Macaca mulatta: one gene and its partners. The protein of the gene in region 4 binds, or shares a complex with, the protein of the main gene of each other region. Links are inferred from orthologs where the notes say so. Each region holds a gene or a part of one and is shown on either strand. Other genes may lie near its edges.

Region 1 (4,849 bases), on a different chromosome or scaffold from region 4:
TACAATAGCTTCTTTAGTTTCTTTATCTGATTATTCCAAACTCTGAGTTTCCAAATTCCAAGAATCAACCTGTGCCTAGGTCCACCCCCACACCCCCTTGCTGGAAGCTGAGGGTCCTGTTAGGCACTTACTCTAAGGTTCTTCTCCCTGCTCTTCCTTCTTTTAAAGGGGCTGTTTATTTTGAGTCAAAAAGTTGTATAGGCCCTGATACCACACCCAACTTTGTGCTTCACAGTAGTTTATCCCTGATTCTCAGGGTCTCATACCAATCTGAAGAAACCTGGTTATAACACCTTTCCAACTCCTTTTTGCCTGCTTCCTTCAAGTGGAGATACTGAGCCTGGGTTATTCTCTCCAAAAAGAATCACAAAGGGAGTGGCTACCCCTTTTGATGGTTCTCAGCTTCTGACTCTAGGCTTTTCTGAGGACCTGCTACACTTCTTGCCTTCTTGGATTCTGTGTGATACCACCATATCTCTATACTAAAGCCTACTTCAGACGGATTTCATGAACTGTGCAGGTGAGAGCCCTCAGTCCCTATAGGAACCCGATCTCCTCTTTCCTCCTACTGAGTATGGAGCTCCATCTAGGATGATCAGTGCCTTAAAAGAGGCTTAATATTTTTGGTTGTTCATTTATTCATTCAATTCAACAAATATTTATTGGGTATCTGCCATGTATTGGCTTTTAAAGAGACTACAGTTGAACAATTCCCTAAATAGCTCCAAAATAGCATGAGCTGACCCTACCAGAAGCCATGGTGTAGCTCTCCAGGAGTTGTTCTAGAAAAAACTGCTGATCACTTCTGCCTCAACCAGAAGAGCCCATGGACCACTGGACAAAATGGAAAGCAAGTACCAAGGTGAGCACCTTTTAGTGAAAGCCAACACACAACCCACAGGGTTGAGTATCCCTGTGAAGGACTGAGTGCCTAGGGCTGGCCCTATCGGGTTCCCACAACCTCCAGTCATGGTCAGACCTCCAAAAGGTAAAATATGGACACCTTTTTTCTGCCCTAAATCTTTAAGACTCTCCATGCTTCTGGGTTATCAAAAGCCTGTGTCCAGAGCATGTGCTTGTCAGGAACATTAATTAGGGTATTTGCATGCAAGAGTTGTCATGCAAAGGAGAGGGCAGGAAAGCTCTGAATTGTTTCCACTGCAGTGTACACCACAATGTCACCAACTTGCTGGATGGGCTGGTATATCTAGCCTTACCACAATGCCCTTGGAGTGGGTTTGGGGTCTGCCAGCTCAAGGAGCTCCTGTTCATAGGGCATGTAAGTCCCTATGAACATATAAGTCCCAAGGAATACAAATAGGGATCCTTCACTACATCGTTGGATGCTTCACAACTTTCCCAGCCTCCTGCAGGACCAGCTGAGTGGTCCTGCAACCTGTGTGAAAACAGGTGAAACCTATGTGAAAACAGCCCTGAAACCTATGATGTGAAAACAGGATAACTTGATGGTTCAGAGCCATTATTTCCATATGGGCTTAGGCAAGGTACTTAAACTCTCAGTGTCTCAGTTTCCTCATCTATAGAAAGGTAATAAAAGCAGTACCTATCCCCTTAGGGTTCGTGTGAGAATTAAATAAGCTAATCTATGTACCTGGTGCATGATAAGTTTTATATATGCATTGGCTATGATCTTAGGGCAGCTATGAGAGAGCTGAGCCCCAAAACCATAAAACCTGCCTAAGCACCATCTCCACTCATGGCCTGGCAGGTGGTGGAGCAGGAAATCCTGTGGGAAAAGAGAAGGCTTTGACTGTAGGAGTGGGTTGATTGTGGGTTCCTGGAAGGTGAGGACCCATTGCCACACCTAACCTGGCCGCTGCATGCGGCAGGCACTCAGGAAACGCTAGTCAGGGAGAAAGACACTAGCTTTCACTTTGCCCCCTGCCCCACCCCAGGGGCGGGACTGTAGAGGCGCCTGTAAGGGAAGTTGTTCAGTCAACTCAGAATACGGGTAGCAACCCGGAAAGTGGAGTCACCGTCCTGGTCTAGAGACTGATCCCTGCAGAGACAGATCCCTTCCCCTCTCTGCCAAAGACCGCAGCCCCAGAAGTCATTCCATCTCCTACTGCTCGCAATCTCCAGAGGCCCCCTCGCACCTTCCAGCCTGATGTCGTGCGTCAAGTTATGGTGAGTAGGGAGTGGCATGTCGATCGCAGCCTCCGACATTCACACCCAGAGCGCCCCACGGACTCGCTCAGAGAACGCCTTTGAGTCTGGAGACGGTGGGGGCCGGCGAGAGAGGCCGGGGATTGCAGTAAGAGCGCCGAGTCACAGGGGCGCGGGGAGCAGCGCTGGCGTAGGGCACTGCCGGCTAGTGGGCGACACCCCTGTCTCAGGCCCAGTGGTGCCTCCGCCTCCTTGGTGTCCATCGAGGAACTGGAAAACCAGGAGTTCGTCGGCAGAGGCGGGTTCGGCACAGTGTTCCGGGCGCGATATAGGAAGTGGGGCTACGATGTGGCGGTCAAGATTGTAAACTCGTGAGTGACCCCTGTTGCCCCCCCGGCCGCAATCTGGCCAAAAAGGTGGAGCCACTGTGCTCTGGGGCCTGAATGGGGAATGGAGGGATTTTTCCCACGACCCCGGGTGACTCCAGCTCTCTCCTGGAGTGTAGGAAGGCGATATCCAGGGAAGTCAAGGCCATGGCAAGTCTGGATAACGAATTCGTGCTGCGCCTAGAAGGGGTCATCGAGAAGGTGAACTGGGACCACGTGCCCAAGCCGGCTCTGGTGACTAAATTCATGGAGAACGGCTCCCTGTCCCGGCTGCTGCAGCCCGAGTGCCCTAGGCCCTGGCCGCTGCTTTGCCGCCTGCTGAAAGAAGTGGTGCTTGGGATGTTTTACCTGCACAACCAGAACCCGGTGCTCCTGCACCGGGACCTCAAGCCATCCAATGTCCTGCTGGACCCAGAGCTGCACGTCAAGGTCAGCTGCTCTACACCCCTCTCAGCCTCAGGACAAGGTCCCACCCCAGAGCAGCTCCAGCCAGGCCCACTGGACACCAGACCTCCAGAGCCCTGTCTATTGAATAGGCGTAGCCTCTCCCTCTGGACACAGGGCTGCCAGGGCACAAAGCCCAGCCAGGAGTTTTAGCTCCTGCCATACCAGGTGATAGAGGCCCCGACCCACACGAGTCATTTCCACCAGCTGCCCCACCAACCCCTCCAAAGAGTCATGGCTGACCCAGCCCTGGAGACTCACACCTTGACCCAGCCCTACCACAGGCACCTAGATCTACTATCCAAGGGAGCCTCTTCCCTTGACCTCCACACTCCCTTTACAAAGCTGAACCTGAACCTTCTGGGGGCAAGGGGGTTTCTGGAGGCTGCCTGGCCCCCTTGTCTTCCCTACCTCCCACTTCTTTCCTTCCTTTGCAGCTGGCAGATTTTGGCCTGTCCACATTTCAGGGAGGCTCACAGTCAGGGACAGCATCCAGGGAGCCAGGGGGCACCCTGGGCTACTTGGCCCCAGAACTGTTTGTTAATGTAAACCGGAAGGCCTCCACAGCCAGTGATGTCTACAGGTAAGGATCCCAGCCCAAACACACAGCCGGGATTCCTACACTTCTCTGGGCCCTCCCAGGGGGTGATGTATAGGAAAGGAGTCTTGCCAGTGATTGGACTGGTCCTCAGCTTTGTGTCTCCTGCAGCTTCGGGATCCTAATGTGGGCAGTGCTTGCTGGAAGAGAAGCTGAGTGTAAGACTCTAGGCGGATTCTGGGATCCTTAACCCCAGGTGCCCTTCTCTTGAAAGCCCCAAAGCTTCCCCTTCCTGCTCACCTACTAAGACTGCCCTCCTCCATCCTTGTGCTCCCACATTACACTCCCTGCCTCTTTCCATGATGGAGCAGATATTCCCTTTTACCCTGAATGCCTTCTCTTCTCACCCTCCTCCCCTACTCCAGTGCCAACAGAAGCATCACTGGTGTGTGGAGCAGTGTGCAGGAGGCAGACCCGGCCCTCATTGACTGAGCTGCCCCAAGCTGGGCCTGAGACTCCCGGCTTAGAAGGACTGAAGGAGCTAATGCAGCTCTGCTGGAGCAGTGAGCCCAAGGACAGACCCTCCTTCCAGGGTGAGCTGGCCAATTAGCTGGATCTGGGGTAAGCTTGGGTCTGTCAGCATGGGGCTTTCCTCAGGAAAAGAAGATTTGCTCACCTGCAACCCACTCTGCTGTCCCTCTAGAATGCCTACCAAAAACTGATGAAGCCTTCCAGATGGTGGAGAACAATATAAATGCTGCTGTCTCCACAGTGAGCGCCAACATCACCCCTCTCCAGGAGCTGGTCAGGGATGGCACAACATGGCTACCTGGCCATCCAATGACTCACCATTAACCACAGCTTTTTTATGCCTTGACCTTTGTCCTCACCCTCCCCAGCCCACCCCTGAGTTCCAAGAGACTACTCCCTTGGGTTTACTCTGGCTCATCCAAGTCATACCCAGCAAACTCCTCCCATCCCTGCAGGTAAAGAATTTCCTATCTGAGCTCAGGAGCAGCAATCCGAGATTTTCTACCCCCGAGTCAGGCCAAGGAGGGACAGAAATGGATGGCTTTAGGAGAACCACAGGAAACCAACACTCTCGTAATGATGTCATGGTTTCTGAGCTGCTAAACAAACTGAATCTAGAGGGGTCTCCCAGCTCTGTTCCTGAAAAATACCCGAGCCTTACCAAGAGGAGCAGGGCACAAGAGGAGCAGGTTCTGCAAGCCAGGACAGCAGGGACATCTTCAGATTCAGTGGCCCAACCTCCCCAGACTCCAGAGACCTCAACTTTCAGAAACCAGATGCCCAGCCCCACATCAACTGGAACACCAAGTCCTGGACCCCAGGG
Region 2 (4,102 bases), on a different chromosome or scaffold from region 4:
GAGGAAGCCAAGGAAACTAGGGACCCTCTCTAGAGACAGGTGTAAGAAATATAGGATGTGCACGCACACACCATCTGTATGTAGTTCTGGGTGTTTATGAAGCTGCTGAAACTGGGGTCCTTGGAATCCTAGCAAGGAACCGCTGTGACAGTCTCTGAGGTACCTTCCAGCACTCAAGGCTGTCTAGGTGTTCTTGTTAACAGTGATAATAACAGTGCTAATAACAGCAGCTACCATTTACTGAGCACTTATTCTGTGCATCGGCAGGCACAGTGCTAAGCTGCCTTACCCTGTTGAATCCTCCTGGCCCACCACCTCCAGCTTGTACTGACACTGTGTTTGTCACTCACAGTCTGCGTTCACCATGGGCTTACATGGAGGTCTACCCTGCACCTCTCTACTTGGAGATTTGTTTTCTTGAATCAGTGCTTTCTGCCCAAATCTGGCCACTGGAAAAGCCATGAAAGTTATGAAACGGAGCAACGAATGCAATATTAGAAACACACTAGAGCTTACAATGTATAAATTTTCACTCGTAACATTTTCATTGATAATTGAGGAGAATGAACTCTGGAAAGGCAAACGACTTTCCCAAAGTCACCCACTGCAGTGACTGGCACACGCAGGACTCGACTTGGGTCTCCTGACCCCTAGCCCAGTGAGCTTCCCTTTTCTAACCTCACTTCAAACAGCACAGTGAATAGAAACAGTGGGTCTAGGAGCTCTTTCACTGAGACGAAGACTTTTATTTTCCTTTTGTACTTACTGGATACACACACCCTTCTTCTATGGTATGGCAAATTAGAAAACTCACATTTTGGTACAGAGTTAGGACATTTTGATAACAAAAGCAAGCAAAAGACTTATTTAAATTTGCAAGGAGAAACTCAGCGTGTTCATTTACTAGCTCAGTACTTAGCAGGATCATCTTTGGGAGCAGAAACACAGAAAATTCTATTATTTATTATAGATCCAAGTGCCCCCTCCCCCCTGAAAGCATCTCAGAATCCTGAAGAAGCTGGATGCCTGTACATCTGTCACTGGCAGAATCAGGAACCACAGCAAGAGTGAAAACAGAAAGCGATTTTGGCACTAAACTAGTGTATTTGGGTTGCTCATGTAGAAAGAAGATAAAAAATTACACATTAAATATTGGTTTAGGGTCTGCCTTCTGTCTACTAGGATTTAAACTATATGAGGGAAGGGACTCACTCAGGCTGTTGGCTCAGTTATAGCTCCAGTGCCTGGAGAACTGCATGGCACAAAGTGGGAAGTGCTTTGGATTTTTTTTTTTCTTTTTTCTTTTCTTTATTTGAGATGGAGTCTCGCTCTGTCACCCAGGCTGGAGTGCAGTGATGCGATCTCGGCTCACTGCAACTTCTGCCTCCCAGGTTCAAGTGATTCTCCTGCCTCACCCTCCCGAGTAGCTGGGATTACAGGCGCGTGCCACTATGCCCAGCTATTTTTTTTGTTTTTTTGTTTTTTTTTGTATTTTTAGTAGAGATGGGGTTTCACTGTGTTAGCCAGGATAGTCTCAATCTCCTCACCTCGTGATCTGCCTGCCTCAGCCTCCCAAAGTGCTGGGATTACAGAATTTTTTTTTTTTTCCCTGAGACACAATCTCACTCTGTTTCCCAGGCTGGAGTGCAGTGGCATATCTCAGCTCACTGTAACGTCTGTCTCCAGGGTTCAAGTGATTTTCCTGCCTCACCCTCCCTAGTAGCTGGGGCTACAGGCATGCACCACCACGCCTGGCCAATTTCTGTATTATTTAGTAGAGACAGGGTGTCACCATGTTAGCCAGGCTGGTCTCAAATTTCTGGCCTCAAATGATCCACCCACCTCGGCCTCCCAAAGTGCTGGCATTACAGGCATGAGCCACCATGCCTGGCCAACCATGGCCCCAGCTGAAATTTTTATTGACTTAATCATGAATGAATAAAATGATATGGCAATACTAATGAAAAATTTTATCCCCAGACATGAAGGAAACAAAAGGATATTCTGCTCATAGGATTATACATGACTTGGATACTGCTTAATGTCTAATCCAGTATTTTGCATTCTACAGATCTTAATAATAAAACCTATGGAAAAAATCGAGGATGTTTTCAAAGGATGTTTTTGGAGAATTTGGCGTTTTGAAAGAAATTGTAACTAAGCTCTGTGGTTCTCAAAGCTTCCTGTACCTGAGTTGATTTCAGGATCTCCAGGACACTTGTGGGTATCACTGGTAGATGCCGTTCAGGTGGTTAAGGTGATGTTGGTGAGTATTATTTGATAAAAATGCTGGATATTACATTAAATCACTTCCATTCTAGACTGCCAGTAACTACTATCACGTACCTTTTACTTCACCTGATAGATATATGGGAGTTAAAAAAAAGTTTTTCATCACTAATGGTAGTCTTTGAGCTATATAAGGTAAGAAACAAAAATATCCAAAACTGATTTCTTATCTTCAAAAAACAGCAAGCAAGGTAAAAGCAAATAAGCAGATAACTTCCCATTGATCAGAGATTGGGTGAAATAGGACTACTATGCACTCCACATTAGAGTCAAAGGCGCCTGCCAGTCACAAGCACCTCCTGATGCTTGTGGACATGTGTGATGAATCCTAGCCCCAGATGAAACACTCCCAGACCAAGTGGCCTGGCGGAGTCCATTCCACAGCGGCAACTTGCATCTGGCCGTGGACGATACCCTCTGTCCCCATCACAACCCACAATCTACAATAGAGCTGGTTGGTTGCTTTACTTTCTGAAAAATAAAAAAAGACAAGGTTGTGACTATCAAAGACCCATTTACCTGTTAGTGGCAAGGAGGTGAATGGCATCGTGGGTGTGTTTCCTAAATAGTTGGTCTCAGGCACCGGGATTTTATACAGACTAGACATAGGACTTGGAATTGGCCCATACCAAACTCTGGGACCTGCTGTTCCTGGATCCAGCGGTCTTGTTCCAAAGCCATGTGAGCTATATAAAACATTGTTCCGATATGGCACTTGAGGTTGGCTGCTAAGCCCTGAGGGCTGGGGCACTGCATTACCATGACTGGCTGCACTAGAATAAGCGGTGCCTTTTACCTCTGTATTCTGAAAATTCTCATAAGGTCTTTGCTGTGCAAAAGGGTCATGGGAGACCCTTCGTCTCCTTTCCTCCTCTCTGTTGTAAGCCACATTCTGTCTGGGCTGCTGTTTCATCTGCCTGTCCATGCGGCTGCCATAGAGATGGTAGTTTGCTTCCTCTTGGAGTTTACTCTGCAGACTGGGCTCATTCTCTTCTTGCTGGTGCTCCAGGGAGGGGGCAAACCAGGACTCCTCCACAGGACCCATCCCAAGTCCCTGGGAACTGTGCAGTGAACCAGGCTGTTCTGTGGCTGAGAAGAAATGATCAACATTAGAATGGGGTTCGTGAAACATTAAAACGTAAAATAAAATCTGAGCGCCATCATGAATCTGTATCTCAGAGGGACGCACAGAAAATAAGTAAGAGACCAGTCCGAAGCATTTAGGAGATGGTCCTCTTCCCACAAGCTTTACAAATAATAGGAGCTCCTCACTGGCAGTGAGAGAGTACTAGGAAAATTATAGCAAGCAAGAGAAGAGCGGCTGTTGCAGGGATGATCAAGGAAAAAAGGGACTTGGTTTGGAGCAGAGAAGGTAGTTGTCTCCTTGGAGCGATTCAGGTGGAAAATAAGATCTGCGACCAGGCACGGTGTTCACGCCTGTAATCCCAGCACGTTGGGAGGCCGAGGCGGGCGGATCACCTGAGGTCAGGAGTTCGAGACCAGCCTGGCCAACATGGCAAAACCCCGTTTCTACTGAAAATACAAAAACTAGCTAGGCATGGTGGTGCATGCCTGTAATCCCAGCTGCTTGGGAGGCTGAGGCAGAAGAATCGCTTGATCCTGAAAGGCAGAGGTTATAGTGAGCCAAGATCACACCACTGCACTCCAGCCGGGGTGACAGAGGGACTCTGTCTCAAAAAAAAAAAAAAAAAAAAAAATCTGCAGCAGCTCTGTCCTAAGCACGTCCCATGAATTCTTTCATTCTTGAAGAGCCCTATGAGAGGAGGAGCAATGATGATGATTTGATGGGTGA
Region 3 (3,928 bases), on a different chromosome or scaffold from region 4:
CACAATCCTGTTTCAACTTATTCTTATCCCAGTAGCCTCTGAAAAAGGAATTAGTTCGTTCACATAGTTTTTATTTCTGCGTTATTTTTGTACTTTGTCCATATTATCTTTATTTTAAGTGACTATTGTTGTGATTGCAAAATAAGTGTAGTTGAGTAATCAACCAAATTAATTGACCTGAAAAACCAATATGCAAGTCAGGATTAAAGAACTGTGATTAAATGAAGAAAACAGAAGAAAGAGTTAGCTTGAGGAGACTTATTTATTTCTTTCTTTTTAATTAAAAGTAAACTTTAATGTCGAAAATGCAAACTTGGGGAAGACAGAAAAGATCACATACAAGGCTATCACTTCACACTTGGAAGGTTCCACAGCGGCTGGCGCTCCTCACTTCCCAGACGGTGGGGCGGCCGGGCAGAGGCCCTCTTCACTTCTCAGACGGTGGGGCGGCCGGGCAGAGGCCCTCTTCACTTCCCAGACGGTGGGGCGGCCGGGCAGAGGCCCTCTTCACTTCTCAGACGGTGGGGTGGCCGGGCAGAGGCACTCCTCGAGGAGACTTATTAGAAGTGAGAAATAATAAAGTATTATGACTCTGAGCTTCAGGGAACTAGCCTTGTGGAATGACTTTTTCTGGTCTAGGGCAGGACCTGAAGAACCGTAGAGAGGGAACCTGCTGCCCCTGCATTCAGAGCCTCAGAATAACCTCTGCTGCCCTGGGTTAGTTTTAGAAGGAATTGATAGGAAGACTCTCCAGTCCTCTTGGAAACTCAAGTGTAAAATGACCTTGGATAGGAAGGTCATGTTCTTTGTCCCAGTTTTCAGCTTTTAATCTGGCCACTAACATATATTGATTTAGTCCATAAAATTAAAGCTAAAATACGATCAATCTCCGAAATAACTGACCAACCTCCTATTTCCTTTTGATCTAGACTTGATTGTGCATTATTTCTTGTCTTTGATTACTTACTAGACTCTCAGCTGGATCTTGCATCATTACCTCATGTCTCTCCTGGACTTGTTGTTTTAAATAGCTGTCTTCAGGCTGGGCACGGCAGCTCATGCCTGTAATCCTAGCACTTTGGGAGGCCAAGGCGGGTGGATCGCCAGAGTTGAGGAGTTCCAGATCATCCTGGCCAATGTGGCAAAACCTGTCTCTAGTAAAAATACAAAAATTAGCCGGGTGTATTGGTAGGGACCTATATATAATCCCAGCTACTCTGGAGGCTGAGGCAGGAGAATGGCTTGAACCCAGTGGGGTGGAGGTTGCAGTGAGCCAAGATTGCGCCATCGCACTCCAGCCTGGGTGAAGGAGCGAAACTCTGTTTCAAAAAATAAAAAAATAAAAAAAATAGCTCTCTTCCAACCCCAGGGTCTTCTTTTTTCCCCTGACTAATCTGGCTACTGGCCCTGGAGAAGCTCCATCCTCTCTATCCAGCAGTTGTTGCTTCTATGGGCCACCCTGGCCTCCTCCTAAAGGAAGGGAGTTTGGGACTGGAAAGATGGGCATAGGAGACAGCATATTCTAAGTAAGACACGTCTGCCTCCTCTGTGTGAACTTGCTAACATCTATTAGATATATACCTGCTAGTTTCAAAGCAGAAACTTTTTCTTCAAGTTGACCCTTGAACAATGTAGGGATTAGGGCTGCTGACCCCGAGCAGTCGAAAATCTGCATATAATTTTTGATTCCCCAAAAACTTAACTACTTAATAGCCTACTCTTGACCAGAAGCCTTACAGACAATATAAACAGTCACTTAACACATTTTTGTGTTATACATATTATATACTATATTCTTAAAAAGTGAGGTAGAGAAAAATGTTATTAAGAAAATCACAAAAAAGAAAATATACTGACTATTCATTAAGTGGCAGTAGATCATCAAAGTTCTTCATCACTGTCTTCATGTTAAGTAGACTGAGGAGGAAGGAGGAAGAGGAGGGTTGCTCTTGCCGTCTTGGGGTGGCAGAGACAGAGGAAAATTCCCATGTAAATGGACCTGCACAGGTAAAATCTGTGTTGTTCAAGAATTAACTGTATTTCTTTTTAGAGCCTTCTTCTGGCATGTCTGATGTGTGACTGATGTGGCATTCCTTAATCAGATTATCAGAGGCTGGATGTTGATTTTCTTTTACAGGTAACAGAAAAGAAGAAAAATGTATTATTTGACCTAAGTGACAAGACTGGGGAAATGGAAGTATTGGTGGTTAGAAACGAGGACACAATGCAATGTAAGGAAGGAGATAAGGTTCGACTTACATTCTTCACACTGTCAAAAAATGGAGAAAAACCGCAGCTGACATCTGGAGTTCATAGCACCATAAAGGTGGGAACTGCATGGAGCAAAGTCAACTCTCCAAGGGGGTGATATGTTTTGCTTTCTGTCAGGAAGCTGGACTGGAGCCATTGAACAGGATATGGAATGGAAGACATTGATATTTAGTACACGTCCATCTCCCAGAACTGAGAAACCTCCCTCTTAGGAAACACATATTCTAGATACACAGTTAAGAGAACATGGGCTTTTCAAGGCAGAGGCGCATACTGTTATGCACACAGAGCCCAAGAAAGAGCTCCTCAGTAACACTACAAGTCTAAAGCAGAAAGCTTGCCCAGAGTTGGAAAAGTCATTCTGAGTAATGTCTTTGAAAGTAGACACACAATAGATACTTTGAGGACACATTTCCCTAGCCAGTCCCACCACGCCTGCACCTACCATAGTCCAGGGCACTTGAGTCCATGTAAACCCCTACTCTTGACCTTCCACCACACCCTCCTACCCATCTCCTGCCACTAGTTGGTGCTCTTCCCCAAGTCTCAGGGTCGGTTGTACTACCTGCTGTCTCTGTAGGAGTAGAGGCCAAGACTTGAGAAATATGCATATATGACCTTGCTAAGTTGGAGTGTATTTCTCAGGTCAGATATTCACTTTGGGAGTATGATCCAAGACAAACCAATGTATTAGAAGGGTGGGAACAAAATAATTTTATCAGAAGGTGATATACACTTTAGAAGGCCATAGTGACTGCAAACAGAGGAGGGGCCACTTATTGACCGCATCTCAGACTGCATGTTTTTTTTTTTTCTCCATCCAGGTTATTAAGGCCAGTAAAAAAACATAGAGAAATAAAAAGGACCAATTCAAGCCGACTGGTCTAAGCAGCATTTAATTGAAGAATACGTGATACATCTTCTTCAATCAGATTGTAAGTTACCTGAGAGCAGCAGTTCACAGGCTCCTCTCTCCACCAAATTAGGATAGGATAATTGCTGGATAAACAAATTCAGAATATCAACAGATGATCACAATAAACATCTGTTTCTCATTCATTACAGTATCTCATTTAGTTTGTCAATCCCTTGTCTCAAGCAAAAATACTTTATCAATGTATTATATATTTATACAAATGTAAAAGTAAACTACATGACAACAATTGCACAAAATACAAGAGGGAAGAATTAGGAGTATACTGTTAGAAGATCCTGTACAACCTGTGAAGCAGTGCAGTATTATTTGAAAGTAGATACTGCATAATTAAAAATGTATATTTTGTCCCATAGGGCAATGATTTAGAAATATTTTAAAAGGTATATAAATAATAAGACAATTTGTGTTATTGGAGAAAGAATAAGCATAAAGCCTAACGGAAAACTAGAGAGCCAAAACTAGGCTTGTAAATTTACAGTCTATTGATTTTCTACAAAAGTACAAACACAGTTCAATGGAGAAAAGACTAAAATAAAGTACAAGAACAATTAGATACCTGTACTTAAAAAAACAAATCTGAGCCATTCCTCACTCTTTATACAAAAATAAAGTCCAAATGGATCATTGGCTTTTCATAAACATCCAAAACCATAAAACTTCTAGAAGACATGGGAGAAAATCTGTGTGATCTTGGTCTAGGGAAAGATTAAAGATTTTTTA
Region 4 (4,625 bases):
ATCCTCCCGTTCAGGCCTCTCAAAGCTCTGGGATTACAGGCGTGAGCTATGGCGCCCTGTCCAACCTTTGGGTTTTTATTTTTTTAATTTTATTTATAGACATGGCGGGGGTCTCACTATGTTCACCAGACTGGTCTCAAACTCTTGGCCTCAGCAATCCTCCAGCCCTGGCCTCCCAAAGTGCCGGGATTACAGGCATGAGCTATCGTGCCCCGCCAGCTGTTCTTTCTTTGCAGCCGATATAAAGTAGGAAAAAACACAATTTACCGGTGACCGAATGTTCTGGATTCCCAGGGCCTTTCTCCAGGTCCGCAGACGCCCCTCCATCCGGAGTGGGCCTTGCCTGAGCGCCTGTTGCCGAGTCCGGATTCGCAGCTGTCGTTTCCTCTACAGTCAGGAGAGTTTCTGGATTTGGGGGCGCCTTCTCCCCTGTGGAAATGGTGAACTCAAGGCTTTTAGGCCGCTTCTTTCCCGAGGGCAGGTACACTTCGAAGAGCCTGCACTCCTTCCGCCCTGGCGCGCCCCCCGCCAGCCCCTGCAGCCTCCCCGCGGAGCTGGCGTTCCTGCGCAGGAGGACCTCGGCCTGGCCTGGCTCTGGCGCCCTGCAGGGGCTGGGGCCGGGGCTTCTCCCGCCCGGCAGGGCCGGGCTCCGGGTTCGAGGCTTGCCCTGCACGTCCAGGCTCTCCGAGGCCTTCTCTCTGCGTTTGCTCAAGGGCTTCCTTGACAGCCCCCTCCCGGCCTCGGGCTGGCTGTACCGCAGGCTGGCAGCCCAGTCCCCGCACGACCGAGGGCCGTTCCCCTCCTTTCCCTCCTTCCCCTCGGGGTGGTCTGGAGTCTTCAGGCTCCCGGGCTTGTTCTCCTCCAGGGAGCTGGACGCTGCGGAATCGTCTGTGCCATTTTCTTGTGTGGAATATTCTGGAAAGACAACCAGCTACAAAGTCATGAAGCTGTCCCACGTTTAGGGCCCAAGATTCAGGGGAGAGGAGAGAGAATCCCCATGGATATTAAACTTTAGAAATGGAGGAAAAAACGGGCCGGGCACGGTGGCTCATGCCTGTATTCCCAGCACTCTGGGAGGTTGAGGCGGGAGGATCACCTGAGGTCAGGAGTTCAAGACCAGCAGGGTGAAACCCTGTCTCTACTAAAAATACAAAAATAAGCTGAGCGTGGTGGCATATGCCTGTAATCCTAGCTTCTCGGGAGGCCAAGTTGGGAGGATCATTTGAGGTCAGGAGTTCGAGACCAGCCTGGCCAACATGGCAAAACCACGTTCCTACTAAAAATACGAAATTTAGCCAGACGTGGTGGTGTGCACCTGTAGTCCCAGCTACTCTGGAGGCTGAGGCATGAGAATCGCTTGAGCCTGGGATGTGGAGGTTGCAGTGAGCTGAGATTGCCCCACTGCTCTCCAGCCTGAGTGACAAAGCGAGACTCCATTTCAAAAACAAAAGTTCAGGACTTCCTAGACAACGGCAGTCAATTACCATTCAGTAAGAACATGCTTGATGTTGCTACATATTTATCTCTCTCTTATTTTATTTTTTGAGACCGGATCTTGTTCTGTGGCCCTGATGTGATCTCGGCTCACTGCAACCTCTGCCTCCCAGGCTCAAGCGATCCTCTCACATCAGCCTGTTTTCTGTTTTTTCAATAGCTGAGAATACAGGTGTGTGCCACCACACCTGGCTCTTTTTTTTGTATTTTTGGTAGAGACAGGGTTTCACCATGTTGGCCAGGCTGGTCTCGAACTCCTGAGCTCTAGCAATCTACCCACTTTAGCCTCCCAGAGTGCTGAGATTATAAGTGTGAGCCACCATGTATTCCTCAAATAGTACTTTTCAAACGTTGTAAGCAGGACAACTGTTTCAAATAAGATCTTACACAGGTCAGCAAAACCCAGATTATACATTTCAAAAATAAAAATAAACCAGGCACGGTGGTCCATGCCTGAAATCCCAGCACTTTGGGAGGCTGAGGCGGGAGGATCACTTGAGGTCGGGAGTTTGAGACCAGCCTGGCCAACATGGTGAACAGCACTGAAAAGATTCTATACCAGCCCCGTTCATACGATTGCATAGCAATCCCTTTTTGCTAACCTAGAGATGTTTGTCTGACATGAGTATTAATCATAAATGAAGTGAAGAAGTCTCAAAGAATAGGTGCTCCAGCTCCTGCCTTTCCTGACCCTGACCTGCTTCTTTAAAACCCATTGGGAGCCTTAAGGAAGTTTACTAACCCAGTGCCAAAAGCCAGAGTGAAGGAAGGGACGTTCCTGAACTAAAGTCACCTGGATCTTGGTAGACCTGAGACTCCCGACCCCCAAGTCAGAGTGAGCTGCTCTGAGCTCCTGGTCCCTTTTCCCACAAAGCAACCAGGCCTCAGTGCTGGGTGAGGAGGCAGCCTGGGCCCGCTTACCCTGAACGGCTGCCCTGTGGAGCTCCTCAGCCAGCAGGCGCTGGTTGATGGCCCGCAGGACCTGCAGGGTTAGCCGCACAGCGTACTCTTCCCCGTAGTAGGTGACCAGCAGACTGGCCATCTTCACTGGCCTGGCTCTCTGGATCTGGCTCCGGGGGATCCTGGAGTGCTCCTTCTCCACACTGGTGTTCTGCAGCTTGAACTTGAACTTCTCAAAGTCATAGGGCACCAGCTCCTCCAGGGTGGACAGCAGATGGTCACTAGGGGTCTTGGCCATGGCGCTGAGCAGGAGACGCTGGAGCTAGCTGTCTGGCTTCTGGCAGGAGAAGAAGCCTCTACCTTGGTGAGCAAGAAAAAGCAGGTTGTGAAATAGCGGAAAAGGCACAGGAAATGCTCTGTGTCTTGGTGGGAACTGAGACTAAGGGTAAGGGTGTGTCCATGCTGGCTGTGTTCTCTTCTCACAGGTTCAGAGGATTTTCCAGCTGGGAGGGCTCAGTGCCTTGGCAGACATCTGTCCCCACACCCCTCCCAAACCCTGGACCTCATCTCCACACTAGACCACAGACAGGTGGGCAAGTCTGCAAGGGAAGGTCTAGGATTGGATTCCAGACAACCCCTCCAATCTCCCTTCCTGCCAGGATCTGGGGCTGGCAGAGCGGGTGAATGGGAACAGAGAGGACTATGCTGAGGGCCAGCCCTGCTGGTCAACTGTTCTCCTCCAGACTCAGGGTTTCACAGACCCTCCAGAGCCAATGGCATGGGATGGGGGAAGGGGTGGGCAGTAAATACAGCCCCGTGAGCTTTGCCTTTCCTGGCCCAAGAAGGCAAGTGAGGCCAGAAGGGCACTGCCGGGGGATAACTCTTGCCACGCCATCACCCCTGTTGATCCAGTTCCAGTTGTCTGGTTCTTCCAGCCACATGAAGGGCTTGAAAAGCAATGCCTCGACCACCAGCCTGACTCATCTGTTCCCAGAGCTGACTCAGTTCTCACTCCCTGGAGCCAGAATGCCCTTCCGTGCACATTCACTGAACATTCTAGACAGTGTGCCAGGATGCTGGAGCTACAGGGGTGAAAAGGCACGGGTGTCCTTCAGCTCATAGTCTGGTGCAGGGCCCCAGAGGTGGCTTTGAAGCTAACAGAAGTTACATGTCGGGGGCTGGACGTGGTGGCTCACGCCTGTAATCCCAGCACTTTGGGAGGCCAAGGTGAGTGGATCACCTCAGGTTGGGAGTTCAAGACCAGCCTGGCCAACATAGTAAAACCCCATCTCTACTAAAAATACAAAAATTAGCCAGGCATGGTGGCACGCGCCTGTATTCCCAGCTACTCGGGAAGCTGAGGCAGGAGAATCGCTTAAACGCGGGAGGCGGATGTTGCAGTGAGCCGAGATTGTGCCATTGTACTCCAGCCTGGGCGACAGAGCAGGACTTTGTCTCAAAAAAATAAAAAATTACTTGCATACCCTAATTTTTTAATTTTTTGTTTTTAGATAGGGTCTTGCTCAGTCACTCAGGCTGCAGTGCAGTGGCAGGATCTTGGCTCAATGCAACTTCTGCCTCCTGGGCTTGAGCAACCCTCCAACCTCAGCCTCCCAAGTCGCTGGGACTACAGCTGCATGCCACCACATCCGGCTAATTTTTGTATTTTTTTATAGAGACAGGGTCTCACTATGTTGCACAGGCTGGTCTTGAACTCCTGAGCTCAAGCGATCCACTCGCTTTGGCCTCCCAAAGTGCTGGGATTACAGGTGTGTAATCCCTGTAATCTGGCCACTGTGCCCGTCCAGAAGTTTTGTTAATAATGCAGTTTACCCTTCACCAGCACTTCCTCTGCACCAGCCACCACTTGCTTTATAAACACTACCTCCTAGAATCTCTAGGACTGTACCCTGCAGGACTGCATTTATCATCCTCCTCTGCAGCCAAGAATCTGTAGCTTAGTGACTTGCCCAGAGCCAGGATCCAAACATCAAACCACTTCACAACATCGTCTCCTGCATGACAATAATTTGTGATTTTACTTTTTATTATTCATGACTACCCATGGTTGTCACATTTCCAGCTGACCACTGAGGTCCAGGATGGGTCACTTCCACAGGTCAGTCACAACATTGTGATGCCTAGCTGAACACTCATCTCTGGGTGTGAGTGTCTCTGTGTGTGCCCAGCCAGGGGTTCAAGGCTTTGATGAGTTCTGATTGGTTGAATTT

Evidence for each region.
Region 1: MEFV (region 4) and RIPK3 share a complex: the UniProt entries of both Homo sapiens proteins name them as parts of the AIM2 PANoptosome complex. The link is inferred for Macaca mulatta from reciprocal best matches to the Homo sapiens genes MEFV and RIPK3.
Region 2: MEFV (region 4) and RIPK1 share a complex: the UniProt entries of both Homo sapiens proteins name them as parts of the AIM2 PANoptosome complex. The link is inferred for Macaca mulatta from reciprocal best matches to the Homo sapiens genes MEFV and RIPK1.
Region 3: MEFV (region 4) and AIM2 share a complex: the UniProt entries of both Homo sapiens proteins name them as parts of the AIM2 PANoptosome complex. The link is inferred for Macaca mulatta from reciprocal best matches to the Homo sapiens genes MEFV and AIM2.

What each region holds. Positions count from the first base shown.
Region 1 is NC_133412.1:97,456,216-97,461,064, reverse strand, and holds the start of RIPK3 (receptor-interacting serine/threonine-protein kinase 3), read left to right. Parts: upstream 1-1,909; 5' UTR 1,910-2,128; coding exon 2,129-2,148; intron 2,149-2,357; coding exon 2,358-2,498; intron 2,499-2,632; coding exon 2,633-2,942; intron 2,943-3,394; coding exon 3,395-3,540; intron 3,541-3,666; coding exon 3,667-3,713; intron 3,714-3,920; coding exon 3,921-4,088; intron 4,089-4,198; coding exon 4,199-4,266; intron 4,267-4,481; coding exon 4,482-4,849. UniProt on the Homo sapiens protein: Serine/threonine-protein kinase that activates necroptosis and apoptosis, two parallel forms of cell death. Necroptosis, a programmed cell death process in response to death-inducing TNF-alpha family members, is triggered by RIPK3 following activation by ZBP1.
Region 2 is NC_133409.1:180,157,625-180,161,726, forward strand, and holds part of RIPK1 (receptor-interacting serine/threonine-protein kinase 1), read right to left. Parts: intron 3,379-4,102; coding exon 2,809-3,378; intron 1-2,808. UniProt on the Homo sapiens protein: Serine-threonine kinase which is a key regulator of TNF-mediated apoptosis, necroptosis and inflammatory pathways.
Region 3 is NC_133406.1:107,861,389-107,865,316, forward strand, and holds the end of AIM2 (interferon-inducible protein AIM2), read left to right. Parts: intron 1-243; exon of another isoform or gene 244-556; intron 557-997; exon of another isoform or gene 998-1,154; intron 1,155-1,857; exon of another isoform or gene 1,858-2,128; intron 2,129-2,137; coding exon 2,138-2,326; intron 2,327-3,095; coding exon 3,096-3,122; 3' UTR 3,123-3,330; downstream 3,331-3,928. UniProt on the Homo sapiens protein: Sensor component of the AIM2 inflammasome, which mediates inflammasome activation in response to the presence of double-stranded DNA (dsDNA) in the cytosol, leading to subsequent pyroptosis.
Region 4 is NC_133425.1:4,489,947-4,494,571, forward strand, and holds the start of MEFV (pyrin), read right to left. Parts: upstream 2,892-4,625; 5' UTR 2,693-2,891; coding exon 2,416-2,692; intron 916-2,415; coding exon 268-915; intron 1-267. UniProt on the Homo sapiens protein: Involved in the regulation of innate immunity and the inflammatory response in response to IFNG/IFN-gamma.